4 linked regions of the Stegostoma tigrinum genome follow. The protein of the gene in region 2 purifies or fractionates together with the protein of the main gene of each other region. This does not show direct contact. Links are inferred from orthologs where the notes say so. Each region holds a gene or a part of one and is shown on either strand. Other genes may lie near its edges. The genes, in order: skia, rnf111, smad2 and ski-like protein.

Evidence for each region.
Region 1: the proteins of rnf111 (region 2) and skia purify together in Homo sapiens (affinity purification with western blotting, with the first as the bait; 3 studies listed by BioGRID). This does not show direct contact. The link is inferred for Stegostoma tigrinum from reciprocal best matches to the Homo sapiens genes RNF111 and SKI.
Region 3: the proteins of rnf111 (region 2) and smad2 purify together in Homo sapiens (affinity purification with western blotting, with the first as the bait; 3 studies listed by BioGRID). This does not show direct contact. The link is inferred for Stegostoma tigrinum from reciprocal best matches to the Homo sapiens genes RNF111 and SMAD2.
Region 4: the proteins of rnf111 (region 2) and ski-like protein purify together in Homo sapiens (affinity purification with western blotting; 3 studies listed by BioGRID). This does not show direct contact. The link is inferred for Stegostoma tigrinum from reciprocal best matches to the Homo sapiens genes RNF111 and SKIL.

The regions. Positions count from the first base shown.
Region 1 is NC_081381.1:23,171,941-23,179,757, forward strand, and holds the start of skia (v-ski avian sarcoma viral oncogene homolog a), read left to right. Parts: upstream 1-4,803; 5' UTR 4,804-5,235; coding exon 5,236-6,144; intron 6,145-7,817. UniProt on the Homo sapiens protein: May play a role in terminal differentiation of skeletal muscle cells but not in the determination of cells to the myogenic lineage. Functions as a repressor of TGF-beta signaling.
Region 2 is NC_081386.1:17,460,411-17,468,058, forward strand, and holds the start of rnf111 (E3 ubiquitin-protein ligase Arkadia), read left to right. Parts: upstream 1-4,630; 5' UTR 4,631-4,834; intron 4,835-7,648. Other genes in the region: sltm (SAFB-like transcription modulator), read right to left, coding at 2,304-2,385, 3,253-3,528. UniProt on the Homo sapiens protein: E3 ubiquitin-protein ligase. Required for mesoderm patterning during embryonic development. Acts as an enhancer of the transcriptional responses of the SMAD2/SMAD3 effectors, which are activated downstream of BMP.
Region 3 is NC_081354.1:160,634,295-160,642,195, forward strand, and holds the start of smad2 (mothers against decapentaplegic homolog 2), read left to right. Parts: upstream 1-4,899; 5' UTR 4,900-5,329; coding exon 5,330-5,616; intron 5,617-7,901. UniProt on the Homo sapiens protein: Receptor-regulated SMAD (R-SMAD) that is an intracellular signal transducer and transcriptional modulator activated by TGF-beta (transforming growth factor) and activin type 1 receptor kinases.
Region 4 is NC_081367.1:61,088,247-61,095,980, reverse strand, and holds the start of ski-like protein, read right to left. Parts: upstream 3,008-7,734; 5' UTR 1,695-3,007; coding exon 579-1,694; intron 1-578. UniProt on the Homo sapiens protein: May have regulatory role in cell division or differentiation in response to extracellular signals.

The sequences.
Region 1 (7,817 bases), on a different chromosome or scaffold from region 2:
TTAAGAGTACTTTTCAATAGAATATATGTCACAATTGCAGTGCTGATGACATTCATTGTCTTTAGTAGAATTTGTAGCATGTGCTGAAGTTCCCTTCTGTATAAAGTTGTAGCCTCCAACTCATGATGCTACACAACTGTGCTGCAAATAAAAACACAGGAATTATTTGCAGTTTTAATTTTTAATGAGACCCCCCTTCCTTCTTTTGTGATTTCAAGTTTTTTACATTCCTTCCCCACGACCCCACATAAAGCAGATAGGGGAAACCATTAAGAAATGCAACTAAGAATATCTTCAAATTGCTAAGAAACAATGCACATCCAAAATTTGGCTTTGGGCCTAAGTTCTTTTGTCTGCAATTATTGTTTTAAAGAACATTATGACACCTGTTTTAATGCCAGTGTCTATGTAATTGATTGGGAAAAAAGCTATGTTGATCACTTATAATGAAAACACGTTTCAGCTTGAAAGGCAGCATGCAGACGAAGTATTCAAATTAAATACACCAAATTGAATACACAATACATCTTGAGTTAGTTAATCTTCATCAGATGGCAGCATCCCTGAATTAGGAAAGTGAATATCAGATCGGTTCTCACTTCTGGTTGCTATTCAATGAGCCTCCTGAATAGTCGATGTATGGATGTGAGCAAGGAATAAGAATTGACTTGCTTATGGTGTGCTCCCATGACTAAATAGTCTACTTATTCTGACTGTGTAAACTCAGAGTATGAATTAATTAGGTGATAAGGGAATTAAATCTGTATCCAATGGGAGTCAATGCTTCTGACAGTGGAAGAAAGTAAATTGATTTTAAAAAAGTAATTAAAATGTTTTTAAAAATGCTTGTACAATTTCGTTATACAAAGGCTCAATATACTTACTCGGCAACAATCTCCAGGACCTCACCATTCAGTATATAAGTCCTGCCCCGATTTGCCTTTCCAAAATGCAACACCTCGCATTTGTCTAAATTAAACTCCAACTGCCACTCCTCGGCTCATCAGCCTATCTGATCAAGGCCCATTGTACTTTGAGGTAAACTTCTTAGCTTTCCATTACACCACTAATTTTGGTGTCACCTGCAAACTTCCTAACCATACCTCCTACGTTCACATCCAAATTATTTACATGAATGACAAAAAGCCATGAACACAGCACTGATCCTTCTGGCACACTGCTGGTCATAGACCTCCGGTCTGAAAAGCAACCTTCTACCACCATTCTTTGTCTCCTACATTTGAGCCAGTTCTGTATCCAAATGGCAAGATCTCCCTGTAATCCACGTGGATTCATCCTTCTACAATGTGAAACCTTGTTGAATACCTTATTGAACACATCAACAAAACTGTTCCTATTCAGGAATTTCACTGAGAAACTACAGCGTGAAAGTACAAAAAGGGTAATTGAGAAAAGGTTGCACTCTATAGAAGTGGAGGTTGGGGTGCAGAGCAGAAGAAACTTTATTATGCTTTAAAATATACTGCAGCTTGTCAATTTGAATGATGGAAAGTGGAACAGCTACTGCACTGAACAGAATGACAAGTCCCAAGAGCAGGGGAAGAGATTATAGCATTTTGAAAGAGTTTTGATAGGCAGGGTGTTGTATTGCTCCTCCTGGACCCACAATTTTTTTTAAGAAACAAGAAACTTGCAACTTCAGTCACATCTTGCAGTGATCCCCTCAAGAATAACTGATTATAGCATTCAATGCCTGGTGCAACTGGGACTAGCATGCATGATAAGCTCTTTCCAATTTTTGATTAAAAATATATATGGTGACCTACAATTGTTGGAGCTACCTAACTACGACAGGAGTGCTGCATGCTCATCTCAAAGTCTACTTGGAGAGAGGCAACAGGATTCTGCAAAGCACAGGGAGCTGGGTCTCCTTGCACATGAATCACAAAAACATCAGCATGCAGGTATGGTAAGTAATTGGGAAGGTAAACAAATGCTGGCATTTAATGCAAGGAGGCTGGTGTACAAATGTAGGGATGTCTTGATACAACTGCTGAAGTCATTGATGGGGACACATTTAGAATACTGTGTACAGTTCTGGTCACCTGAGTTAAGAAGGGACACATTTGCATTGAAATCTGTTTAGAGGTGGTTCAGTTGACTAATTCCTAGGATGAAGGATTTGTTTTAAAAGAGCAAGTCTACCAAGTTATGTTAATTCCCATGGCAATTAGGAGAATGAGAATAGATTTTATCAAAAAACATAAGATTCTGAGACAGTTTATCAGGGTGGATTCTGGGAGAATGCTTCCTCCACTGGTGGAAGCTAGAATGAGGATTTGATTTAACTTGATTTATTATTGTCACATGTACCTAGATACAGTGAAAAGTTTTGTTTTGAGTGCAGTCTAATAACAGTGAGGAAGAAGTTGTTCTTGAATCTTGTGGTACATGTTTAAGCTTTTGTATCTTCTGCCTGATGGAAGAGGTTGGAAGAGATTATAACCGGGGTGGGAGGTCCTTGATTATGTTGGCTGTCTTTCCGAGGCAGTGAGAGGTATGGGTGGAGTCAATAAATGGAAGGTTTGCTTGCATGATGGACTGGGCTGTGTTCACAACTCTCTGTAGTTTCTTGGAGTCCTAGGCGGAGAAGTTGCCATATACCAAGCCATGATTCATCTGGTTAGAATGCTTTCTATGGTGCATCTATAAAAACTGATAAGAGTTTTTACAGACATGCTGAATTTCCTGAGCCTCCTGAGGAAGTTGAGGCGTTTTTGTGCTTTCTTGACGGTTGTATCAACATGGGTGGACAAGGTCAGATGTTGATGATCATCACTTCTCGGAACTTGATGCTCTTGAGCATGTCCAAAACACAGTTTAATTATAAGAGGCATCCCACTTAAGACAGGGATGTGATTCTTTTCTCTCAGAGAATGGGGTTTTGTTTATGGAATTTTTTTCTCCGTTAACTGATAAAGCTGGCTAATTTAATAATGTTCAAAATTGAGTTAGACAGATTTTGGACAGACAAGGGAGTTAAAGGTTATGGGAGTCAGCCAAGTGAGTGGAGTTAAGGGCAGATTAAATCGGCCATGATCTTATTAAGCAGTGAAGCAGGCTCAAAAGTCTGAATGACCTAGATCTAATGCTATTTCTCAAGTTATTATTTAGCTAGTTGAATTCTAATATGCTGTTCACAGATGGAAATTTCTAAGCACTTGTCATAATGATCTAAACTTTCTGGTCTTGGCTAAGTCAGGCATATCTATTCAAGTAAGAGTGCGTACTCTAAATTGAGTAAACAGAGAGCAGTATCTTGTTGATTTTTCATTGACTTCTGATCCTGAAGTACTGTGATTGGATTCTGCTTGTATTAGACACCCAGATGACCGAAAAGGAATTAAGGAGTAAGGCTTTGGTTGATTGTGGAATGAGGATTTTACTGTGCTGGATGAATTTCACTAATTCAGCAAAGACTGAAAATTGCACCTATCGCTTCCTGCATTATTGCCTGATAACATAAAGATTGGTACAGTCACTATAATTAAGAAAATATATTCAAAGATGGCAAATTGCAGCAATTTATTCAAACTTTAATTACATTAGAGTTAAATTTCACTACACCTATACAACATGTGTACATTATACATTGACTGTGGCACTGTCATTTGTCTAGTATAATTCTGGGAAGTGATAAATGACAATACTCAAGAGATAGTAAGAAGGGTCTCGGCCCAAAACGTCAACATTCCTGCTCCTCTGATGCTGCTTGGCCTGCTGTGTTCATCCAGCTCTACACCTTGTTATCTTAATGACAACACTCAATTGGAGTTTGTCCCAACATTACACAACTGTTAGATGAGAAGATTTACATTTATATAGCACCTTCACAATACCAGATAAGTTAAAGTCTTTTACAGCCAATGAACTACCTGTATTTTGAATGATAATGACCAGAATAATACATTTTGTGCCAAAAACAGAAATTGCTGGAGAAACTCAGCAGGTCTGGCAGCATCTGTAGGATGACAGCAGAATTAACACTTCAAATCTGGCGATTCTTCATCAAATGTGATGTTAATTGAGACATAATATGGGCCAGGAATAAGTTTCCTGCTTTTCATATAATGCAAAGCGATCTTTTACCACCACTGAAAGGACAGGTGGGGGCTCATTCCAGCATCTCATCCAAAAGTCAGCACCTATGACAGCACATCAAGCTTCAGCATTGAAGAAGCGTGTCGAGCTTTTGTGTTGAAATTCTGGAAAGTTGAACCCACATTTATCTGAGATAACAAGGTGTAGAGCTGGATGAACACAGCAGGCCAGGCAGCATCAGAGGAGCAGGAAAGCTGATGTTTCGGGTCTGGACCCTTCCTCAGAAAAAATTTTTATCTGACTTGGAACTCAGATTGCTATTAAATATCACTAAACCAAAAGTTTACCAAGACAGTTGGTACATGCAAGGTTTATAATGTAAAAAGAACAAAAGTTTATAATGTTAAAAACAAAACAAATGGAGTTCTGTGTATTGCATTTCTTAAAATTATTCATTAACGCAAGGTTACAGTAATACTTATTGTAGAATTGTCCAGCTTACGACAAAAAACCCCTCCCGCTTACGTTATACTAGATCAAACTGACGATCTGTAAACCACAGAACGTGTTTTGTAGAAGAAGCTGCCAGCGACCAATCCCGGTTATTAATGGTTTCTAGTGAACTTTGGAAAAAAATCTCTCCCTTCCGCGTGGCAGTTTGAAAAGCTATTGGTTTGTGAAACCAATTGTTGCATGTTTGTAGCCTGCTGTTGAAATCGGTGGGCAGTGTGCTGGTTCCTGGAAGAGCCCTGGGGGAGTCAGACGCATTCTTGGCTGAGATTCAATGCCTGACCTAGACGCCGACAAACAGAGGGGAGAAGACAGTCTGAGCTGCAAGGTCGTATTGTGTGGATGTGCCGCGTCTTTACGCTTGTAGATCGTAAAAGAGGATTGAAAAGAAGAAAAAAGAAACAAAGTACAGTCTAAAACCAATTGGGGACTGGATTTCGAAGGACTGGTTTAACCAGCATTTGCTTGAAGATCTTTTTAAGGGCACGATTGTGGATATGTTTGAACGTAAGAGTGCTGCAGAAACACAACACGCTTAGAGACTGGATTTCATGAGCTACTTTAATATTGTACGCGGTGGTGGGATAAACTTGGACGCCGTGGCTTTTTAAAGGATTCAGTTGATTTTATACAAAACGGGTGTGCTTTTTAGGGCCAAAAATCATGGAGACTGTACCAAGATCTAGTTTTCAGCCTCACCCAGGACTCCAACAAACCTTAAAGCAGTTTCATCTCAGCAGTATGAGTTCGCTTGGAGGACCCGCAGCTTTCTCTGCTCGATGGGCTCACGAGATGATGTACAAAAAGGAAACTGGGAAGGAAACAGATCAGATTATTCACCTACCCATACAGCCCCCTCCTGTCATGCCAGGACCCCTTTTCATCCCATCGGACCGATCAACGGAGAGATGTGAGACTATTCTGGAGGGGGAAACCATTTCTTGTTTCGTGGTTGGTGGGGAGAAGAGGCTTTGCTTGCCTCAAATTCTGAACTCCGTCCTTAGAGATTTTTCCCTTCAACAGATCAATTCGGTATGCGATGAATTACATATTTACTGCTCTCGATGCACGGCAGACCAGCTGGAGATTTTGAAAGTCATGGGGATCTTGCCCTTCTCTGCCCCATCTTGTGGCTTAATTACTAAGACAGACGCAGAGAGGCTTTGCAATGCCTTACTCTATGGAGGAACTTACCCACCCCATTGCAAAAAAGAATACTCAAGCACCATTGAGTTAGAGATCACAGAGAAAAGCTTCAAAGTATACCATGAGTGTTTTGGAAAGTGCAAGGGACTCTTTGTGCCTGAATTGTACGGTAATCCTCATGCTGCATGTATCCAATGCATGGACTGTAGGCTGATGTATCCTCCTCACAAATTCGTAGTACACTCGCACAAATCATTGGAAAACAGAACCTGCCATTGGGGTTTCGATTCGGCCAACTGGAGAGCCTATGTCCTTTTGAGTCAGGATTACACGGCAAAAGAGGAGAAGGCACGATTGGAACAATTACTGGATGAAATGAAAGAAAGATTTGACTACAGCAACAAATACAAAAGAAAAGCACCGAGGGTGAGCGTTTTTAGAACTTAAGACGCATAGTTTTTTTATAGATTATAAGTTAACTGTTTACGGTACAGAGCTTTTAATACATTAAGGTTAATATTTTAACTTGTTTCTCAATGTCAATAATAGGCACTACAAACATGACTCAGAACTGAACGCAATAAACTCAATTCTTTAATAAAGGTTAAATCATTAATTCTCGGTTTCATAGGTATCGATACTGTATATGCCGGTGTAATGGTACTATAAACAGTTTCTGGAAGTTTGTTTCTCTTTAAATTTGTGGAAATTATGTGTTTGAACCTCTTTCTCAACGTACTTTCCCTTCACTTGGCGGAGAGGTTTTAAAATCATGTATGATACATTAAATACTTGAAGGTGTATGTATTTTAATCGTTTCCCATTATAAATAATGACGTGCTAAGTTGAAGCATTAAGTTGACTGGGCTGTTCAATGTGATAGTTTCAGACAAGGGTGTGTGCTTCGTTGCTCACTAATATGTGGGAGTGGTTTTGTGAGATGTGCATTTGTATGGAGAGAGCTGACTCTGTGAACAACTGCCAAGGCATGGCCTGTGTAGGGCAGTGTTTTATCCAATCCACATCAATTTAGCAGATCTTGAGGAGATTTAATGCCGAAAGGCAAACTGGGGAAGCTGTTTAATCCGTTCTATACTCAAACTAGATTTCAACATGATCATAGCTGTACTTAGGTTTGCTAACGTTTCAATTGGAAACATAGACGCGATTTAAGAATAAAAACTGAATCTGTCCAGACAATCTATTCCAAATTATAAAACTAAACTGTTCAAGAAGCTACGCTACCATAATGTTGCGCTTCAAAAGCCGGGAAAGATCACAAACTTTCCTACCTCAAAGTGCGTTATTTACCTATCAATTCGGATTTCATTCCATAGTTCATCCAAAAATGAAACAAGTTTGTATTTTTATATTTTTCTCCTCTAACAGCACCCATCCCACCCCATTTCATTCTGATTTCCAAAGAGAAGATAGCAGACAGTGCATTGATTGTTCTTTGTGCGTGGGTAAAGGTTACGGCCGTGAACCTTGGCTACCTCTTGACTGAATTGAAAAGGAAACGCTCAACAGTTCATTTGCATCAATTGTTGCGAATTTTAAAAAGCCGATGAGGCATACTCGGCACATTGAAAGTCAAACAGCAAAATCGTCAATGTACCTATTCAATCCCTCGCGCTTTTGGATTTTTTTGTTCCTATTGTAATACTGTACATATTACCTGGGCAATTACAGACAGTTTAGTAAGCAGAAAAAAAGACCTGTGCCAAGGAATATCGGATTGCATTGCTTAAGTCGTTGTAGGAGATATGCTTCCGAAAGAACAGTTCAGTTTAAAAAAAGTTGTTGCAGTGTTTTTGGTAATAAAAACTAATTTCTGTGTAAAAATTGATTTAAAGATCTGATTGAAGGTTTGAGAACTAAGCTCATACATTACGAAGGATGGTTTTATATGCATCTGCAAAAACGAACATGATTAAGTAATGCAAGAAAATAGACATTTAAGAGAAAATAAAGTACCATTAGTGCCATATGAGCAAAACCATATTTTCTACAAGTTTTAAAGGGGCAATTCCAGAAGCTGTTCTGTTGGAGATCAATCCATGAAGATTCTGGATTCTTAATATTACTTGGATATCCAT
Region 2 (7,648 bases):
GAAACACAAGCTGAATTGCAGGGGTGAGCTGACAGTAATAGCTCTTAAAATCAACGCAGCATTCAAGAGTGGTTCCTGGGATTAAGGTGGTTAAGAGAAAAGTTTGAACAGGCTGTACCTGTACTTGATGGAGTTGATTAAATTGAGAGTCTGTCTTACTGAAACACAGGCCAAAGGGCCTTTTCCTGTGCTCTACTGTATTGGATAACATAATATTCTCAGGAGGTTGACACGATAGATGAGGAGATATGTCCCTGTGCATAGGAATCTAGAACTCAGGAACATGAATTCAAAAATGAGGGATTGCCCATTTAAAAAAGAAAACAAACCATTGTTTCTGAGAGTCTTGGAATTATGAAAAGTCAGGCTAGGTCAAAGTACATTCAAGATTGAATTGAGTTGATTGAGTTAGATAATAGTTTTTGTCACCCCGAGAGTCAAGAGTTATGGGAACAGTGGGTTGGCAGACAGAAACAGAATGAATCTTACTGAATGGCAGGGCTGACAGATATTGCCTAATTAAGCAAAACATCAAGAAATCTGAATTAAACTAAAATTCCAAAGGGATCAGCGGAGAAAGATTTCAACAACTTGAGTCACATCAAGCACAAGTGTAAGTGTGGTTGTCGGAAGGGACATCACGTCAGCTCAAGAACCTTGCTGTAAGCAATCAGTAGCCTCGTGCCTCAGTTCCAAGTGTCCTCACCTGCTTCAATGTTTATTTATTGGTGTTCAGTTCCGTTCAAACCTTCATAATTAAGCAGTGCACTGACAAACTGCAGAACATGCAGACTTAAGCTAAGTACACAAGCCAACAAGAGTATGCATTGAGTGGCCATATCATGAAGACTCGAGAACACAGAACACTAAAGCACAGTACAGGCCCTTCAGCCCTCAATGTTGCACTGACCTATATATGGAATGCTCTGCCCCAGAAGGTAGTGGAGGCCAAGTCTCTGGGTAGTTTCAAGAAAGAGATAGATAGAGATCTTAAAGATATTGGAATCAAGGGTTATGGGGATAAGGCAGGAACAGGATACTGATTGTGGATGATCAGCCATGATCATAATGAATGGTGGTGCTGGTTTGAAGGGCCGAATGGCCTACTATTGTTTAAACCAAACTGAAGCCCATCTAACCGACACTATTCCATTATCCTCCATATGTTTATCCAATGACCATTTAAACGTCCTTGGCGAGTCTACTACTGTTGCAGGCAGGGCATTCCACACCCTTACTTCTGTCTGAGTAAAGAACCTACCTCTGACATCTGTCCGAAATCTATCACCCCTCAATTTAAAGCTATGCCCCCTCATACTAGCCATCCAGGGAAAAAGGCTCTCACCATCCATCCTATCTAATCCTCTGATCATCTTGTATGTCTCTATTTGGTCACCTCTTAAACTTCTTCTCTGTATCGAAAACATCAAGTCCCAAACATCAAGTCCCTCAGCCGTTCCTCATAAGACCTTCCCTCCGTACCAGGCAACATCCTGGTAAATCTTCCCTGCATCCTTTCCAATGCTTCCACATCCTTCCTATAATACAGCGACCAGAATTGTACGCAATACTCCAAGTGCGGCCACACCAGAGTTTTGTACAGCTGCAACATGACCTCATGGCTCCAAAATTCAATCCCTCTACCAATAAAGCCTAATCTTCTAATGCAATCCCCTCCCTAGCTTCCCAGAGAATCCTAGGATACATCCCATCCGGCCCAGGGGACTTATCAATTTTTAAACCTTCCAGAATTACTAACACCATCTCCTTGTGAACCTCAATCCCATCTAGTCTAATAGCCTGTATCTCCCTAATCTCCTCGATAACATTGTCTTCGACTCTGACCATTAACATCTCTAGAAAAGACAATCACCGTTAATAAGCCGCAAGGCAGATCAGAATTTCAATAGTCCAGGCAGAATAGCTCACCTAATGAATTGTTAAAGTCTTTGCGCTCCCTAAAATCAAATGATTAGAGCACAATGCAACACTCCCAACTTGACAGAAATGTCACAGATGCCACTCAACACCATCTAAGGTTAAGTAGCCTACAAAATTTGCATTTCACCCAACAACCTAAATATCTAACTCCTTTGTCAGGTCATTCAAGTTTTCAGCAGCACCTCTCAAATCCATAATTGACATCAACTAAAAAGGGCAGATGTTTGGGACCTTCAGGTTGTTTCATTATTTCTCCATCACCAAGTTCAGTATTTACATTTTGGTTAAAAACAGAAAGTATATTAATAAAGTTAACCCTTTGTTACAAAATCATACACAACAAATTAAGAAAGGTGGGATACCTTTGCTTTTAGGTGTTTTCTTTGAAGGCGTATCCGAAAAGAGCTGCACGTTATCAGGATCGCCTCCCTCCTCTTCTATTACCTGTTTTGGTAGCAACAAATGCAAGTTTTCTTTTCCCAAAAACTCAATCAACTCGTTGAAAAATAATATTAAGAATTGAAACTAAATGAGGAAAAGTTGCATATTTCTGAAAATGGACATGACATGTTATAAATGCTTATACTTTACAATCAAATAGCGTCAACTAAAAGGTTTTCACTGCAACTGGTTAGTCTTAAAGGTAAATATTGGGCTTCAACCCTGTGATTTTCTTAAAACACCCAAAATAAAATTCTGCGCGTTAACTATGTAACAAATCCAGTGCAAATGTCCGACTTGGAAACCAACCAACGTGAATTTTATTTATCTTTGCTTACCCAATAAAAAGCACCCCAATGAATGAACAAAATACTATTTGGTAGTCAAAGAAGAAGATTAATTTATTTAACGGCTCCAGGTTATAAATTTTCAACAAAAGTTATGAAATAAAGCATACCACTTCAAGTGTTTATTCATTCAACTTCACAGATCATGAGAATCAGAAAGTGGGTAGCTTTTGGTTGTGTTTCTTTAAAAAAGTAAAAGCTATCAACAACTAAAAGGCGTCAATTAAACGTTCATTGGATTAAAAAGCAGTCTTTTCGCACGTTTAATCATACTGAAAACCAACAAAAGGCAAAGGATCTTTTAATCAAGATCTCAAGCACTTTTACCATGCAGTGAATATTTAATTCGCAAAGATTTATTTGTCACCGGTCAGCAAGACATTTAACCCAGTGAGCGCCGAAGCAGCCATTAAAATTTGCGCAGAGCAAAGTGGGTTAGGCTTCATCCGAGGCCTAAAGGTGACGGCGGTAAACCCCAGCGCCGACTTCCTTCCCTCTCCTTGACTTTGGTGATTTCTCACACCTGTTTTAACCTGGCGATCAGAACGGTTTTAACGCCACTAATGTCGAGATTCCGCCGCTTGAGTTCGGATTTAAGATCTACGACACGCAAGTCTGTGATGCGCCGAGCTTCATTCGGACTAGGAGCGGCAGCCATTTCAGGCGTCTTCACGGAGCAAGCAGCAGCTCGAGCGGCGTAGCTCCACCCCCAACAGGAGCCCGGATGACCAAGCTCCACCACCCCCCCGGGAAGGAGACTCAGCCGAAGTCCGCCCCGGATACCTAGCCCAGCCCTCATCCGTCAGGGATTCCAACCGTGACGGGAGCACGGATGGCATTGTCCCACCCCCACCCCACATGCCCGGATGGCCAAGGACCCGGATGGCTGCTGGAGCGCGGTGGTAGCCTGCTTTGCGGCGGGAATAGCGTGTTGTGGAGTTAGAGCGGGAACGCAGATTATCACTAAATGAAAGCACGAAAGGCACTTTGAGCACCAGGCTTCTTAACTATAAATGTTTCACAAACCATTTTCAATTAAACGATTCTGAAGATAATTTGAGAAACACGATGCGTCAAATTTCTCTGTGTTGCCTCCTTGCTTGCCCTCTTAAAAATGTTGAGTATTTCCAACATTTAGTGGTGTCGTGGATGGTCACGAATGAGGGAAAAAAACACTTCAATGACTTAATCGAAACGTTGAAACGATTTAAAAATGACTTCCTCAACCTTTCTTTAATTGTAATCAATGCTCAACAACCAAAAAACATAAGTTGAAAAAACTCAACAGGTCTGGTAGCATCTGCGGAGCGAAAGGAAACGTTACGTTTCGTGTCCAGTGATCTTTCTTCGGAATCAACAACCAAAATCTCCTTGGGCCGCTTAATCTTTATAATCGAGGTCCCGAACGTCAAACTTTCCTGCTGCTTTGACCTCCTGTGTTCATCCAGCTTTACACCGTGTTATCTCAGACTCTCCAGCATCGGCGGTCCCTATTATCTTTGTAATCTTTATATCGTTTATGTTCGCACCAAACACCCAGGATTTTTAAGAGCATTATTAGTAGGCGCTATACAAAGGCAGGGCATTTGTTATGGTAGAAACTGGAAAAATTACGCATGCGCCGGAATTTCCCTATTTTCCTAAAATCGTGTTGTGGGAAGTCGGAAGACCCCTGGCGATAAACCAGCGGTGCAGGCGGGTCCGATTTCACCATCCCACAGGCGACAAACTTAGAGGCAAACGTGCTCCTTTTCGTACCATTGACGTTTTGGGAACGGCAAACAAAGCCGGTGCCGTAAAGCGTGCGCGATGCAGCCGTCAAGCGCCGGAAAGTAAAGGGCGGTCTGTGTCGTGGAAAGGAAAGGAAGCCGCAAAGCAGATGCGGGCTGTGTCGTGGAAAGGAAGGGAGGCCGCAAAGCAGATGCGGGCCGTGTCGTGAAGGTGGAGCTGCCCCGTCCGATGCATTGAGCAACCCCGGGCTGAGCAGCGAAGCTTCGTCGTTTGGGGGTTTCTGTAAACAAGAGGCTTAAAATCCTCCCAGAAATATCTGAATAAGGCCTTGTGGAAATAATGCGAGGCGGCCAGCACCTTACAGAAAAGCTTCGGTAAGCTCTTTTCCGAAATTATTCGCCAATATTTGGAAGTGTAAAAAATGTCTATCCTCTTTAATTTTAATTCACTCCCCCCGACTCCTCCCCGCAATCTTCTCTCCATTCGCGACCGTTTTCTTTTAAAAAAAGTCGTGATGAAGACCTGGCCTGGTGAGCGCCTTTCGAGCTGCTGACGTTTAGATGTTTGAGAGTGATCCCCCCGCCTTCCCAACAACATCAACAACTCCTCAACAGAATTTACAGAATAGGAAAGGGGGGGGGGGGGTGTTGCAGAAGTTTGAATCGTAACTGATCATTAGATAAATCTTACAATATTTTTTGCATTTTTCAAGGCGTAGTAAAATTTAGGTATCCAGCTGGTGGTTGCCGGGGAGCGATGTCGGATTCTCAACAGCAATTGAATGTCTGTTGATTGATTGAGAACCCTGCAGTGTACCGTATAGAGGAGGAGAAAGGTGTTTGGAGGGTGATTTCTGTCTGCATTTGCCTTATATACTAATTTTAACACCACAGCCAAGGTTTGACGATGGAAGGTATCAGTTTTAGTTTGGTGTTGCCCGTGATTATTCTAGTGCATACTTCAAATTAGTCTGTCAAAGCTTGACATTCAACATGTTCTTGTGTTTTTTTAAAAATTTTTTTTGCTTTGAACATTTTTCTCATTTTATACTTTGAAGTGTCTACCCTATGAAAAAAAACTTTTTAAAATACTTTACAAAGAACAGTTTGGGTTTTAGAGTCAGAGTTGAACCTCAAAGAAAGTACAGAAGTGCTTCTCAGGTCCAGTTTAAATTTTTGATTGTACTGTCAATAACAGGATTGTTTCTAAGTTTAATTTGTCATCACTAATATTTATTGTGACTGTAAGGTAGGTTTATGTCCTTTATGAGATGAAGAACAAAATATTTATAATTAGCAATCAGTTAATTTTGTGTGTGATGTAGTTCTGTGTATGAACAGTAATATTTATACTATTTTCAGAGGAGGAAGCAGGTCACAACCCAGGGGAATTGTGACATGGTTTGATGTTGAAGTACTATATGTACAGCTTTTTAGTAGGATATAATGGGTAACAGAAAATTAAGTTTGTTTGCATTAAAATCTGAAATTTGTTTGGCCTGTGTGCCACACAGCACCATGTGATATCAAAGATAATGAGAACTGCAGATGCTGGAGAATCTGAGATAACAAAAGTGTAGAGCTGGATGAACACAGCAGACCAAGCAGCATCTTAGGAGCACAAAAGCTGACATTTTGGGCCTAGACCCTTCATCAGAAAAGCTATGTCATATGTTTATTTGTGGCCTTCGGTAAACCAATCTGTTGTTTAAAAAAAAAACTGCTGAAGCAAATGTTTCACACACGGTTTTGTGTTTGTTTCAATGATTTTTTTTGTCAGGTAGAATTTGGTTTTGGCATGGATGTTGCAACTGTGTGGTATTTTGAATACTTAAGTGGTTACTTGAAGAGATCCAATTTTTATTTTCAGTTGTTTAACTGTCTTGTTTCAATATGGACTTTGAATCATAGAGTTTGAATCTATAAATTTTGAAGCTCTTTACAGAAGTGGAATAAAATAAAGCTTTCAAAGTTGCACTTAAGTTTTGATCTAAATCTGCCTTCAAGCTTTTTTTATTATTGTTGACTTTTTGTGAAGTCCCTGATCAGACAATACTAGAATGACTTTTTATTACCTTCAGTATCTTCAAAAGAAAAGTTAGCTTAGTACTTTTGGTGAGATATTTCATCAGAGCTGCTTTCTGCCTTGTGTCCAAGTTTTGGGAAATGTGTATTTTTCCACTTGTTGACTGACATGTTGTTTGTAACACTCCTGCTTTAATTTGATATCCAGTAGTTTTGTTTAATGTTTGTTTAATCAAATGCTCCCGAGCTCTGTTTTGTTAAGCTAGCCCAACAACAATTATTTTGAGCCAAGTTGTCTAATCCCTGTCTTGACACTTATAATTGGCAAGGATTTTTGGTTAATATTGTAGATGCCTTTAGCTGAGTGTATGAAGGACAAAGGAATAGAAGAACAGGCAGTTGAGGTTAAATGAGGCTAATGTGAAGCACAAACACCCGTATGGAAATGTTGACAATGACCTGTTTCGGTGCTGTAACTTCTCAGTGAATCATAGGATCTTGCTTGACTGGCTTGATTGTAGATTCCAGTTAGGGCAAGCGGTTGGTCTATCATTGTTTTCACCAGCCCGGTCTGCCAAGACAAAGGTTGGAGTTGTTCTTTATTTTCACGCTGGATTATTTGCATACTTGTGAATGTGTATTTTTGTTAGAGTCGTTACATATGAGGGATTCTGAATGTACATCTAATGATGCAGTAAAAATTGCTCCCAAAGTACAGGGTGCAGTGAAGCAGAGCAATAGCCACTGCCAGATTGCAAGCACCAGTTGTCCATTCGTGCAATCGCATCAACTTCCTTTATCAGTCTGCATTTTATCACTGGTTTGAGCAATCTGAGGAGAGATTGAATAATCAACTTTCTAAATTAACATTTGTGTCAGAATAATGACTGCAATAATTCAGATGTTGAATAATGTCTTGTTCTTCCACTAAGAGCAGGCCTGTTAGGATTTTCTACCAAAATATAATGTAATTGGGAGCCATCAGTCTTTAAAAGCCACAGCCTTTAATATGGAGAACAGTGGCTGGGTGCCTACAAGTTATTGCACACAGTTTGGGACTGCCCTGTGTATGCTGCACATCTGATTGCATCCTGTTCTCACTTGGATGGGGAGAGGAGACGGAGGGACAAACACTCATTTTAACAGGCACCAAATGGTTTTATT
Region 3 (7,901 bases), on a different chromosome or scaffold from region 2:
AGCATATGAATGATGATGGGATAGTGTAGGGGGAGGGGCTTAGATTAGTCCACAGGTCGGCGCAACATCGAGGGCCAAAGGGCCTGTTCTGCGCTGTATTGTTCTATGTTCCAATAAAGACTGGCCAGCCAGTGATGCCCACATCACACAATTTTTTTAAAAAATGTGGCTCCTCAGGTACTGAAGCAGTCTATATTCAAATGCAAAAAGACCTGGACAATATCTGGGCTTGGGCTGAAAAGTGGCAAAGAGTTCCAAAGACACACAATTGTCAGGCAGTGACCATCTCCAAAAGAGATAATCTAACTATTGTCCCTTGACATTCAGTGGCATCACCAACACCGAATAATCCACTATCAACATCCTGGGGGTTACCATTGACCAGAAACTGAGCTGCAGATACCAGATAAATACAGTGGCTACAATAGCAGGACAGAGGCTAGGAATACTGTGGCAAGGAACTCACCTCCTGACTCCCCAAAGTCTGTCACCATCTACAAGGCACAAGTCAGGAGTGTGATGGAATACTGCTCAGATTCCTGGATGAGTGCAACACCAACAATACTCAAGCTGCTTGACACCATCCAGGACAAAGCAACCTGAAGAATGGTAATACCCAAAATGTTGACTGCTCCTTTCCGCCAGATGCTGCGTGGCCTGCTGTGTTCTTCCAGCCTCCTGTTTGTCTACAAAGCAACCTACTTGGCTGGCATCACATCCACAAACATTCAGTCATTCCACCAATGATGGTGAGATATAGCAGAGTGCCATCTACAAATACATTGTAGTAATTCGCCAAAGCTCCTTAGATAGTGCCTTCGAAAACCCAGAACCATCCATTTCTAGAAGGAGAAGAGCAGCAAGTAATGGGAACATCACCACTTACAAGTTCCCCTTCAAGCCACTCAGCATTCTGACTTGGAAATATATCACAGTTCCTTCAAATGTCACTAGGTTAAAGCCCTAGAGTTCTCTCCCTAACGCCATTGTGGGTCTATCAACAGTGAACGGGCTGCAGTGCACCAGATGTCAGCTCACCACCACCTTCTCAAGGGCAACTAAGGACAGGCAATAAATGCTGGCTCAGTCATTGACACCCGTGTCTCACAAGTGAATAAAAAAAATGTGTTGGTGTTAATTCTCCAAAGTTTCCTAGATTCTGGGAAGATTCTGTCAGAATGGAGAGCAACAAATATAACCCATGTATTCAAGAAGGAAGAGAGGTAGAAAACAGGAAACCATTGACAAGTTAGCTTGATATCTGCCATGGTCAAGGTGTTATCATTAAAGAAGTTACAGCTAATTTTATGGTCCAGACAAACTCGCCTCAAAAACATTTAAGATAGTTTGGGCTTCAACTTTTTCTTATTTTTAAAGGCAGGTGTAAGGTGTTGAGTCCTGGCTACAAATCAATTGGTCAACTACCAAGCTTGAAGCAGAACACACTTTATTTTTACATTTAGTAAAATGCAAACAAAAAAAAATTGGAATAACTTAGAGTCAGAGAATCATACAACAGCTGAGCATGGAAACAGACCCTTCAGTCCAACTCGTCAACACTGGCCAGATTTCCGAAATTAGTCTAGACCCATTTGCCAGCATTTGGCCCAAATTTCTTTGAACCCTTCTTATTCATATACCCATCCAAATGCCTTTTAAATGTTGGAATTGTAGAAGCTTCTACCACTACCTCTGGCAGTTCATTCCATACATCACCACCCTCTGTGTGGAAAAACAGCCCCTTAGGTCCCTTTTAATTTTTTCTCCTCTCACTTAAAACTGTGCCCTCTAATTTTAGACTCCCCTATCCTGGGGAAAAGACCTTGACCATTCACCCCATCTATGTCCTTCATGATTTTATAAACTTCTATAATGTCACACCTGAGCCTCTGACACTCTTGGGAAAATAGCCCCAGCCTATTCAGCCTCTCCCTGTAGCTCAAACCCTCCAAAAAGGATCCTAGGCAATCCAAAATGGAAGAAGGGGAAAAATTATGGTTGTAAGAGCTGCTCCTTTTTTTTGAGGTATTTTCAGGATTGGAACTGGTTTCCTTGCACGTTTGGAGCAGTAATTACTATTTTATAAGCTGTTGCATTGTTTTTTGGAGCTTAACTCTATTGGAAAGCTTAATAGAATAATAGATTATTTAACTTGTAAACAGTGACTGTTCCAATACAGTACCATTCAATAAACATATCCTTGGCAAAGGCAAATTCAGTAAAATAGATTGTCTTGCATGCAATTCTAGCAAGGCAAGAAGAGAACCCCAGCTTATTGCAGTAACAGGGAGAGAATAGCTTCCACATCCAGCTTCAAAAACCCAGCAACTGTTGAAAGCTTAAACTAAAATCCTGGTTCTGCAGGATCTTGACTCCACCCCTTCATGCCGTCCCTACTATTCCAACTTTCAAAAAAAAACCAAGGCACTTCCAGGCACTGGAGCAGTACCACCGATGCGGCCTGTGCAAGATCCTGTGAATCTGCTGGGAAGAAAGACGCAACACCAGCTTCATTGACCAGGCCAACATTCCCAGTGTCAAGGCACTTACTATCTTTGGTTGGTTACAATGGGTTGGATATGTCATCCACATGACCAAAATGAGACTCCCCAAGCAGGTGCTCTACTCCCAGCTTTCAAACAGCAGGCAAGCACCACATGCACTGAGGAAGTGCCTCAGTATTACCCTCACGCCTCACTGATGAAGTACAGCATTCCCACAGAGACCAAGACTGTCCAAAGTGAAGGAGGTTCATCCAGGAAGGCATCAAGAAGGCATTGAGACTTGCCATTGGGAAAAATTGGGAGGCAGGCGAAAACAGCGCAAGGACTGTTCTGCCACACCAGTTTCTCGTGAGCACTACCTGCCCCAAATGTAACAGAGCCTATGATAGTCAAATTGATTTGTACAGCCACCTATGGACTCACCCTGACAATGGAAGTGTCATTCTCATCTGCGAAGGACTGCCGATGGTGATGCAGATATCCCAATTATTAAGGCTAATAGACTGCTATCCTTTATTACAAAAGCAATTGAACATAAAACTAGAATACTAGGGCATTGGTGAGACCACTTCTGGAAAACTATGGTTTCTTTACCCAAGGATGTAAAGCATTGGAAGTGTTTAGTTGAGGTATGAACAGGTTGCCCTCTAAGGAAATGTTGTACAGTCTGGGTTTGTTTCTACTGGAGTTTAGGAAAGTCTTTGTTGAAGTCTACAAGATCCTTAAAGGTGGCTATGAAGAGGATATGAGATAACAAGATGCAGAGTGGGATCAACACAGCAGACCAAGCAACATCAGACAAGCAGGAAGGCTGACGCTTCGAGCCTATGGTTGAGCACAGAATTAACGGGTACTGTTTGAAAATTAAGAAATGCCTTTTGGGGCGTAAATTGTTTACTGTTAAGTTTGTGCGTGGGTTGGGAACATTCTGCCTCAGAAGATAATTGTTTGGGTCATCAAACAATTTGAAGTTGGAAGCAAGGGAATGAAAGTTATTGGGTTAGAGGGAAGTGTAGAATTCAAACAAACAGATCAGCTAGAATCTTCTTTAACAGTGGAGCATTGGTTCGAGGGGCCAAATGGTCTACTCTGTTCCTAATTTGCATGTGATAGAAAATGTGAAAAAATATTGCATATACATAGGGGCGACTTGGTGGTTAGCACTGCCGCTTCATAGCACCAGGGACCCAGGTTTGATCCCAAGCTTGAGCGACTGTCTGTGTGGAGTTTGCACATTCTCCCCGTGTCTGCGTGGGTGTCCTCTGGGTGCTCCGGTTTCCTCCCACAGTCCGAAGATGTGCAGGCTAGGTGGATTGGCCGTGCTAAATTGCCCATAATGTTCAAGGATGTATAGATTAGGTGTGTTATAGGGGGATGTGTCTGGGTGGGATGTTGAGGGTCAGTGTGGATTTGTTGGCAGAAGGGGATGTTTTCACACTGTAGGGACTCATGATTTATACAAAATTATTCATAAATATGTAACATAACGGTGGCAGATGTAGGGGTTCAGATCAGATCAAGACAAGAAATGGCTTGTTAATCTAGTTTTGAAACACAATTATTGCCACATACTTAAAATAGTTTTCAGCCCTTTACCATTCATAAAACAATGAGATAATTGGAGTTTTAAGGTTGGACTTTTTTGACGGTGGTGCTGAGGAGATAGGTTCAAGGCTGCAAGCAAAATGCCCACCAGTCTGTTTAATTTTCAACTCTTTTGATATCTAGGATTTCAAAAGCACTGAAGCCTGGATACTAAACAATATCAATACAAAAACCAAATGTTCAAACTGCATGTGTTTCACGCTAATAGTAGCCATCCCAGAATATATCAAGTTGGAAGATGCTCCAATTAGTGTACATGATAACTAAGCAATTCTAACACAAAGTAGAAAGCTGATGAGAAAATTCAAACTGTTCTTCCTTGCATTGAAAATCCAGCAGATAGGAGTGAGCCGGCGGAAGAATACACCCAAAGGGCATTTTGAATAATAAGCTCATATAATAGGTAACTTTAACTGATAGGCCAATTTAACAACGTTTGGATTTATATTAGCAAAAAAAATGGATTTCCAGCTTTCAATTCAAGTCCTTTCCGCATCGAAAAAGGTGATTAGTTTGAACGTAACCGCTGGAACTATTTCAAGTGGAGGAACACACCCCTTGATCGTTTTGCCTTCCCCCTCCTTCCCCAAAGAAAGGGAGGAAAAAAGTTTTGCTGAGGCATCAACCAAACCTGTTAACCGGACGTTCCCCGCGCACTGTTGGATTGATTGACGGGGGATTCTGTCCAATAGGCGCGCGGTATGTGGCCGAATGGCGGGGCGTCTGGGGCAGGCGGGCCAATGAGAGTGGGGGACGCGCGAGCGCTGGGGGTGGGATTTCCAGGTGGAGAGAGCGGTCGGGGGGAGGCTGTTTAATCGTTTTTCTCCGTCAATCAAAGAAAAAGGGAGCGAAGAGGCCAGCGGGGAGCGAGGGAGAGAAAAAATAAAATAAAATCTCCTCAGGGGAGGATGTGAGAATTAATAATAAATTACCCAGAAGGCTAACGACATTTTTTGAGGGCAATTTTGATTTATTTTCTCTCGAATCGTCTCGGTTGATAAGCGGCGGTTAGCGAGCAACGCGAGGCACAATTGTGTGAAATTTTGAATCGTGATTGCCGTTTTCTTCCCCTCCTTTTCCAGCCTCAGTTAGCCCCTTTTATTGTTATTTTCCTCTTCTTCTTTACCTTTCTCATTTTTCCCCCTCCCTCCCACCCACCGTCGCCCTATACCCCCACGCCCCCGCCCCCCCATTCCCACTCCCCATTCCTGGCTCGAACCATGTCGATCTTGCCCTTCACGCCGCCCATCGTCAAGCGTTTGCTGGGCTGGAAGAAAGGCGGCGAGTCGCAGTCTCCGTCTTCTCAGTCTCCGTCGCAGGCGCCGCCGCCGCCGCAGCAGCAGCAGCAGCAACAACAGCAGCAGCAGAACAACGGGCAGGACGACAAATGGTGCGAGAAAGCCGTCAAGAGCCTGGTGAAGAAGCTGAAGAAGACGGGCCAGCTGGACGAGCTGGAGAAGGCCATCACCACCCAGAGCTGCAACACCAAGTGCGTGACCATCCCCAGGTAAGGAACGCCTAGCTTCTGCCAAACCTCTCTTCCTAAACTGTGCAGCCAGGTTAAGTTGTTACATTTTAATGATACACTTTTTTTGGGACAAGTTTATCTTTGTTATTTTAAAAGTCAACTCGATTATTTACCAACGAGTGTATCCGTAGGCCCTGTGGCCAAATGCACGATTGTTTCACTTTTTTTATTTTCGGAATCTGAGGGAAATATTTTGTTCCAGTTTCTGCTAATTATAAACATTGGTAATACTTGACACTTGGTTGATGTGTATTTAGATTTTTAGAAATGTGTATTAACTTTGTAATTTTAGGTTGTAACTTCATTAATGTAGCTTTGTTCAAAAACCATAATAATTTTCTTGATGATAAAAAGGGACAGTTTTATTCCATTGAACAGCATACTGGTTTGGATAAATTTGTAATTTTTGTGATAACATGGTGTGAAGCTGGATGAACACGGCAGGCCAAGCAGCATCAGAGGAGCAGGAAAGCTTGACGTTTTGGGTCGGGACCCTTTTTTCAGAAACTTTTTTTATCTTCAGTTAGCATAAAAATAAGTTGTTATTACTGTTTGTTGAAGGTTAGTGTTTTCTGCTCAAGTACAGACTCAAGCCCCTGGTTAATGCTTTGGATTTGATATTAGAACTTTTTATATAAAACATTGTTAGGGGGAAATCAGGGTTTTCCTTTTTTGGCATATTGTTAAAGTTGCATTTCTTATCAGTCTGTGTTGCCTCGAGAAAGTGCTCCTTACAGTGATGGTTTCATGAAGGTGTTTGATAGGAAACTTCAGTATTTTGATTATGTCTGTTAGAATGGTAGTACTTGGAGGTGGCAGTATTTCCATACCACTGTTTTTGCCTCTTCGGTAGCAATAGTTACGAATGTGGTTAACTTTTTTCCATTTTATACGGAGAAGCGCATGCAGGATGTAAGTAGCTGTCATTAGGATGATTTTAATCTGATTTCTTTAGTGGATAGTTTCTTGAAACAAATGTTTTGAGATTCCATTAAAATATTTTTACAGAATTTGTTTTTTGTGCTCAACTTTTTTCCCTTTTAAAATGGATGCACTTTCTTAAATGCCATGGCAAAAATAAAGAAGGGCTCTTTTTCCTGAAATTCACATCTGATCCCCTAGCGGAAATAAGAAATGTTTATTCATCTGAGCCAAAATGATGGAACTATTGTGTTTATCTTGGCATGCTATCGTTTTCTCGCCCAAATAAGGGGCACAGAAGACATAGTGAATATATTATAACTGCAGTCCCTTTCTGCAGTTTAGTTCTGAGTCATTTAGGCTGGTAGCCTAGTTAATAACTGAGAGGAAAAACAATGACCTTTTTAGTTAATAGTCATTCCATTTTTTAATTCATCACATGTTGTGGAGCATTTCCATTTAAAAACCTGCCTGTGTTCTTGTAGAAATTTATTGTAGACTCCTGGAATGTCGTGAGTTTTTATTTCCTGGAACAGAATCTTCAATTGTTCTAATTTGTAACAACTCAAAATTTGAACTGTAAGCTGAACAGAATCATTGGATAATTACAGCATTAGCAGAAGATACTGAAAATCCTCAGTATCTGATGCAAATGGATAATGTTGGAGATCTTCAAACAAAAACAAGTTATGTCCCTGTTAATGGCCTGTTTTTACATATTTGAATACTGATGAAGTTATTTATGCATTTCCAGCATTGTGTTTTCCCATTATGGAAAAGTGGCGAAAAACCCAAATGATTTATTAGCCTAAATTATCTTTCCTTTTTAATGTATTCATGTAATTTATTTAATGCTGACTGTGTCCAACAGGTTTGGGTAAGAACCAAGTTCCAGCATTATTTAATATGCATCTTGAGTGTGTATTCCAGTTTGGTGCAAATGTCCAAAGCTCATCTTTAGCATTGATCTATAAATTTTACACCAGTTCGATCTACGTGGAAATGGGATGGATTTATTTATGGTTGTATAGCTAGTAATATTTTAAAGTTGGCTAGTTCTGCCAATAGGAGTTCACTGGCAAATGTGAATCAGACCTCTAATAGTGTAAATTTAATTTTATTTCTGTGTATTGAATATTTTGCTGTTTCTAGAATCATGAGGCCATTTGGCCCATCATATCTGTACATGATTTGTGAAAGCTATCAAAAGTTAGTTTCTTGTCTTTTCTCCCCCCATAAATTCCAGCATACTTTTGTATTTCAAGTATTTATTCAATTTCTTTTGAAAACTTAAGTCAGCTTCCATCATACTTTCAAGCAATGCGTTACAGAATGAGTCAATT
Region 4 (7,734 bases), on a different chromosome or scaffold from region 2:
ATGTCACACTATATACTCCTATTATGTCTAAATCCCAAAGACAACAGGGTACTTACAATTACACCAGAGTGATACTGTGTTTTCTATTTTCTAAACCAGAAGCTGTGGTCTTAGGAAGATTGTCAGTCAATGTAAAATTATGGCCAGTTTTGTATTGGAGGCTCATCTGGAACTGGAGTGAGACTTTTTTCACTTGCAACCATTTAGGCAACGAGTAGAGATGACATTTTTTTTGGTCCCATCAGTCCGGTTGAATTTGAATGATTTCTCAGATGTCAAAATCACTACATTTAAGCCAATGCACCACTCACCCCATACAAAACACAGATTTAAGATATCTTGGAAAAAAGAAAGGTCTCACATTAACTATCTCAACTGTTTAGGCATCTCAGTATTCAACAGCCAACGTAGTATCCAGTATTAAAATGCAGGGTATCTACCACATACAGGAATTAAATTCATGCCAGATCATTTGTTTTCACTGAGGTTGGTCGAGAGGTAAGTATTGACCAGGAAATATTTGTTCACAGAAACATATCATCAGCAAAATTCTCCTTCAAGTGAAAAATGGAACTTACCTTTGGAAGCAGTCTTTTTCGCTGGTTATTGAGGTTGAATCTGTCTTTCATTTCTTCCAAACATTGCTGTAAGAACTTTTCTTCAGATGTTTCTGCATATTTACGGCTCAGTTGCACATAGCAGCGCCATTTAGCTGAATCAAAGCCCCAGTGGCAGGTTCTCTTGTCTGGAGACCTGTGCGAATGCAGGACAAACTTCTGGGGTGAAAACATCATGTGGCAGTCCAGACACTGAATGCAGGTAGCATCAGGGTGACTGTATAACTGCGGCACGAACAGACCTTGACATTTCCCAAGACACCAATGTTCTACTTCAAAACTGGAACCAGTGCTCTGTAACTGGGCAAGGCATGTTTTGCCAGGGAGTTTGTTGGCATCTGGAGGCAGTATGCCTGCATGAACCAAGGCATTACATAACCTCTGTGCATCAGTCTGTGTTATAAGTCCGCAAGAGGGAGCATTGAAAGGCAAGATGCCTAGGACTTTGAGAATTTGTAGCTGTTCTGCCGTACATCTTGAGCAATAAATATACAGCTCATCACAGACAGTGTTGATCTGTTGAAGAGAGAAATCTCGCAGAACTGAATTTAGGACCTGTGGCAAACACAGCCTCTTCTCCCCACCAACCATGAAGCAGGAGATAGTTTCTCCTTCCAATAAAGTATGCGTGAGCTCAGTTGAACTGTCTGAGGGTATAAGCAATGGTCCTGGCAGCACAGGGGGTGATGTCATGGGCATTAGCCCCCCTGGCGACATACACTCTTGAGTACAACGTGCCGAAAATGCTGCTGGCCCACCCAGAGAGCTCTGACTGCTCAAGTGAAACTGAGCCAATGTGTGTTTGAGAGCAGGGTTAAGATCCAATGGACGAACTCCTGACAACAGGCAAGCTTTGGGCACACACACATCTGTGTGCGCTGTCTCCTCCACTCCAAGGCCCTGTCCACTTTCTAGCTTTACTCCTGGGGCTCTGAGCATATGTGTAATTCTACCATCAAACTCCTTTTCCACGTTGCTTCGTTCTCCCACTCCGTCATATACTGGCTCCTTTTTTACAATCACTTCACCCAAGTTAACTCCATCCATCACTCTCATAGCTCCTTGTACACTTGTCATGGCTACTGGGAAACGTACCAGTTTTTTTTCCCCCAATTTATATATCCAGGCACAACTTTAGATTAAATGACTGTCGCCTACAAAATTAGCACACGATGGTCGTCGTGCATTTCAATACATTCTGGTCACATATCATTGGTAGAAATTAGAATGTTGTGAACAATGTCTTAAGTCTCTATATCACCAAGCTAATCAAGGCAAAATCCGAATTTCGACTGATTCCACATTTGCACATCCCAGCCAAATTAATCCCACCACAGTGCCGGGTTGTACAGTCCGATTCCGCTGCCAATACTCAGACGAGTAACGAAAACCACACACACAAACACGATCTGCTCAGCAGGTGGCGAACCAACCTTCTACTCGTTTGAAATTTCTCAGCACTGATTTGGTCATTCGCCAGATGGGAGGAAATACACCTTCTAACCAGAAAAACACTTGGATCCAAACCACTATTTCACGTGGGATGTGCCAAAGACACGGCAAATCGTCCGTACTTCTGTCTTCCTAATTTAAATTTCTTTTCTTTCTCGCGACTGAATTTAACACATTGTCGATCCAAGGCACGCCTGGTGCGACTCACTGAAGACTGGCATGAAGCCCCTTACTTTGGGAGAGTGAACGAGAGAAATAAAAATCGGGAGGCGTCGCTACCCTCTCCTCGATGAAACGACGATTCTCTCTCCCACCCTACTTCGGCTCCTTTGCAGCAACGTGGAGGGAGGGCCTGCTGACTGAAATCTTGCCTCCCCCAGGGAGTGGGGGCGGGGGGAGGACAGCCTGTTTCTTGAGATCGACGGCGGCTTCTCTAATCCAAAAGCAGGTTGGAAATGTAAATGAAGTGGGGGAGGGGGGTTAAAAAGGAGAGAGGGAGTCCTGGCGACTGAGGACTGACAGTTCCAGACTCCAGGCCGCTTTCAATTTAATATCCCCTCACATGTATCTCTGAGTTGTATGTATAATTATATAACCACTGTATGTCAATGATTACACAGTCCCAGTGCCGGATGGGTTGGTGCTTGCTGACAGGCCGAGCGCTCCGCTTCGCTGTCCCGGGGACCTGTCAAATACTCGGAACCCCCTCCTCTTCCCAGAGGCCTTCCTTCCTTCCGCCTCTTCCCACACCCGCACAATTCTCCCGCTTTTGTTACTCGCAGTGCTCCTCAAGGCGTCTTTGACAATCCTCACCTCCCCGGGGACCGGCTGTGTGACAAAGACAGACAGACTGTCGTGCCCCGTCTATCTGTCTGTCTGTCTCCCTCGCTTCGCCGCGGAGCACCGCCGCACAGAAAGCATCGACGTCACCGCCGCCCACTCAGGAAACGCCGACGTCACGCAGCCGGCGAGACGGAGCGCTGACTCACAGTCTCCGACCCTGAACGCCCGGTCACCTGACCACATTGCCCTTAAAGGGACACCCCGACTGCAAAGAATGCAGGTAAATTATTATCTGTTGACACAGTGGCGTCCTTCACCACTTCTGGAAATCCCAAAGAACCTTCGCAATCACTCAAATGATTTTTTTAAAATTTATTCTGAAAGATTGCTAGTCCAGTGATATTACCATTACCTCCCTAAAAACATATTACATGTAATATAACCACCCAGTCAGTATTATGTAATAAATCTTTAATCTTTATTTCAAGACTATAGCCTTCTTCTACAGAAAAGCTTGAGTGGTCATCCTCTCCCACTTGTTTTTTAAAATCTGGGACTAATCCAACAAAGAAAGATTAGTGGCAGTGAATGCACCAAAGTAAACCAATGGTTCCAGTGGACAATCACAATTATAAGATACAGCCAGTGTTCATCTGGGGACGTAGCTTAGCCACATAATTATAAAACCATCCACCCAGCAACTCGCTCAAGCACTACTTACTCCACATGTGGAAGAGGCTTTGGGAGAAGATGGTGGCTTAGTGCTAGGGGAGACTAGTAAATAAAGAGAATGATTCTCTGTTGGGATGATTCTAATAGCATGGGCAGAATGTAGATTCAGTTCACAAAATCTGGAATTGAAAGGTAGTATTAGTAACAATGACTGTGAGACCATCAGCAATTACAGAAAAAACCCATCTTGTTCATTAATGTGCTTCAGGGAGGGAAATCTGCTATCCTTAACTGGCCTGACTTACATGTGACTCCAGATGCACAGCAATGAAATTGAATCTTACTTTCTCTCTGAAATGATCTGGGAAGCCATTCAATTTGAGGGCAGTTAGGGATGGGAAGCAAATGCTGACCTTGCCCCTGATGTCCGCACCCACGCAAAAGTAAAAAAATGTCTGCAATATCCATTGAAACAAAATGGAAGCAAAACATCCTCAATTTCATGGGCCTGCCTACAGAGAAAAGGTATGTTTTTTAACGCATGATTAATCTTCCACTGACCAATTTGACCATTTCCTCCAAACCAAAAAGGTGAGAGAGGATGGTACAGTCCAATACATACCCATTTGAGATTACTGACTGGTTTTGATCCTATTCCCAGGATGACCATAAAGATGAGCTACAGCTGGTAACGCACATAGTGAAGAAACAGAGGTTCTTTATAAGGTAAGGACAAACAAGTGCGTAAAACCATCTGAAGGGATGAAGAAACAAACTAAGATTTTGAAATAAGTTGAACTTTAGGTCATAACCTCAGCCTTCATCTTTTTCTGCTCAGTGCTGCTAGACTGAGATATTTTTTTCCTGCACCCTTTCTTTTTATATTATTTATTATTATGGTACATAATGTCTACTGGTTCAGTGATTTCTACAGTACTACTAAATTGAATCTGCCAAGCTCCACCCATTGACTGACTATAGTGAGCTTGGTGAAAGATGGGTCCTGATCTGAACCTGAATAACCATTAATAGTTCAGGCATGCATTTTTTCATGGTTAAAGTCAGTTAATTCAGTTGGTTAGATGGCTAGGATGTGGTACAGAAAGACACCAACAGCATGGATCTGTACCAGCTGTGGTATTCGTGGAGTTTCATTTGCCTGAATTTCAACATGATATGAAGTTTTCCCTGGAGTGTTGGAGGCTGAAGGATGATCTTACAGAGGTTTATAAAATCAAGAGAGGCATGAGTAGGCTGAATAGCCAAGGTCTTTCTCCCAGGGTAGGGGTGTCCAAAACTAGAGGGCAATAGGTTTCAGGTAAAAGGGGAAAGATTTGAAAGGTAACTAAGGGACAAGATTTTCACAAGAGTATGGAATGAGCTGCCAGAGGAAGTGGTAGAAGTGGGTACGATTACAACATTTAAAAGGCCACCGGATGGGTACATGAATAGGAAGGGTTAGAGGGATATGGTTCAAGTGCAGGTAGGTAGAATTAGTTTAGCTTGGAAACATGATAGGCATGAACTGATTGGACCAAAGGGTCTGTTTTCCATACCGTACCACGCTATGACTCTCTTATTGTAGGAGTAGAAGCATTTAGAGGGATATGTGCCAAATGCTGACATATAGGACTAAATCAGTTTGCATGGATGAATTGGACTGAAAGGTCTGTTTCTGTGCTGTGTAACTCGATGATACGATGATGTCCCTCAAGCTTAACCAATTGTCTCTTTCTAATGGAGAGAGAGATTCTTACTGTCCTTCATAGACTACAGCTAATAACCAATTAGTCATTACTATTCATTTGAGGACTACTTTGTGAACTGGTAATATGGTTTGCCCGAACACAGTTTGTCATCAAGGGTCTATCCACAGAAAACAGGACCATTTTACCAAAGGAGAAATCTGATAATGACCAGAAAATTTGTTTTAAGGTATTGATTTGAGAGATAAATGTATGGAAGAATTCTAAATAATGCCCTGAAATCTTTAAGATGAAGAAATTCAGCAGGATGGCAGCATCTATGGAGGGAGTTAATGTTTCAAGATAAATATGAATCGTATTTTCAGAACTAAACCGAAGTATTTTCCACCAGTTCTCAGGATGTGGGAAACTCTGGCGGGTCCACAGTATGACCAGTTATTCAGAAGCTTGACAGTCAACCACATGCTGCGGTGTTAGAGTTACATTGAGAATACAGCTCCCTTATCACAAAAACATTGGGCTTTATAATGTGCAGTATTCATTGTCATTATACCTGATGCTAGCTCACAGATTTACTTGCATAGATTAACTGAAACTGTGCTGTTAGGATTGAACTCTCGGCCTCAGGGCTGTTAATCTTTTACAATCACACTGTCATTTTATACCTTAATTTACTCCTATGTTCTGAATTGAATATATATATGATGGGTTTCTGACATCGCAAAGCTTCCAAAGGTGTCAGACAGCCAGTTAACTATCCTAAAAAATTGCCTGTGTCTTCACAGTTATATCAAACTGACTGAGTCTCTTATCAGAGAAACAAAGTCATCGTCTTACAAACATGTATATGACTCTGACCTCAAAACCCTTCTGGCAGTACAGACTCAATGCTTCTGTTTTTGTGTTTTTCACTTGTGGGATTTAGGCATTGCCGGCTGGCCAGCATTTATTGCCCAGAGATAGTAAGAACTGCAGCTGCTGGTGTCAGAGATAACAGTGTAGAGCTGGAGGAACACTACATTTACTGCCCATTCCTATATGTGCTTGAGAAGGTGGAGGTAAGATGCCTTTTTGAACTGCTGTCGTCCATGTGCTGTAGTTTGAGTCACAATACCCTTAGGGAGGGAATTCCACGATTTTTGCCCCAATAACAGTGAAGTAACCATGATATATTTGCCAAAATGGATGGTGAGCGGCTCGGAGGGGAAGTTGCAGATGGTGACTTTCCCACGTCTCTTCTGCCCTTTGAGATGCAAATCGTCATGGGCTTGGAAAGTGCAGTCTAAGGATCATTGATAGATTTCTGCAGTGCATCTTGTAGATAATACGCACTGCTGCTACTAAGCGTCAGTGTGGAATGAGTGGATACTTGTGGATGTGGAGCCAGTCAACCTATCTGCTTTGTCCTGGAAGGTATGAAGCTTCTTCGGTGTTGTTAGAGCTGCACTCATCCAGGCCAGTGGGGTGTATCCCATTGCACTCCTGACTTGTGTCTTGTAAATAGTAGACAGGCTGTGCGGAGTCAGGAAGTCAGTTACTCACTACAGCATTCCTAACTTTGGACCTGCTGGGGTGGCCATTGTGTTTATGTGGCAAGTCCACTTGAGTTTCTGGTCAATGGTAATCCCAAGATGTTGACAGGGGGTGTTTAAATGATGGTAACACAATTGTAGGTCAAGGGTGGTGATTTTATCAACTCTTATTGGAGATGGTTATTGCCTGGCATAAGTTTTTCTTGCCACTTGTCTGCCCAAGCCTGGATATTATCCAGGTCTTGTTGCGTTTGAACATGGACCATTTCATTGTCTGAGGAATCGTGAATGGTGCTGAACATTGTGCAATTAGTGGCATGCATCCCTACTTCTGACCTTATGAGGGAGTGAAGGTCATGATGAAGCAGCGGGAGATGATTGGGCCTAGGATACTAGCCTAAGGAAGTCCTGCAGCGACGCCCTGGAGATTAGGTGACTGAGTTCCAATGACCACAAAAATCTTCCTATATGCCAGGAATGAGTCCAACCAGTCGAGAGATTACCCCTGATACCAATTAATTTCACTTTTGCTACAGCTCCATGATATCACACTGGGTCAAATGCAGCCTTGATGTCATGGTATGTCACTCCCACCTCACCTCTGGCTATGTTTGAATGAAGGCTGGCCCTGGTGGATTCCAAATCATCAGTGAGCAGGTTACTGCTGAACAGACGCTGCTGGATAGCATTGTTGATGACACCTTTCAACATTTTACTGATGATCAAGAGTAGACTGATTGAGGGTAATTGGGTTAGTTTTGTCCTCCTTTTTGTACACAAGACATACCTGGGCAATTTTGCACATTGTGATGGAACAACTTAGCTTGAGAAGCAACAAATTCTGAAACACGTGTTAAGGGCTCAGAGGCTCCAACTCAAGATTTGCATCACCGTGGTATCTGTGTGGAGCTGGAGGAACACAGCAGGTCAGGCAGCATCAGAGGAGCAAGAAAGTCAATATTTCAGGTTTAA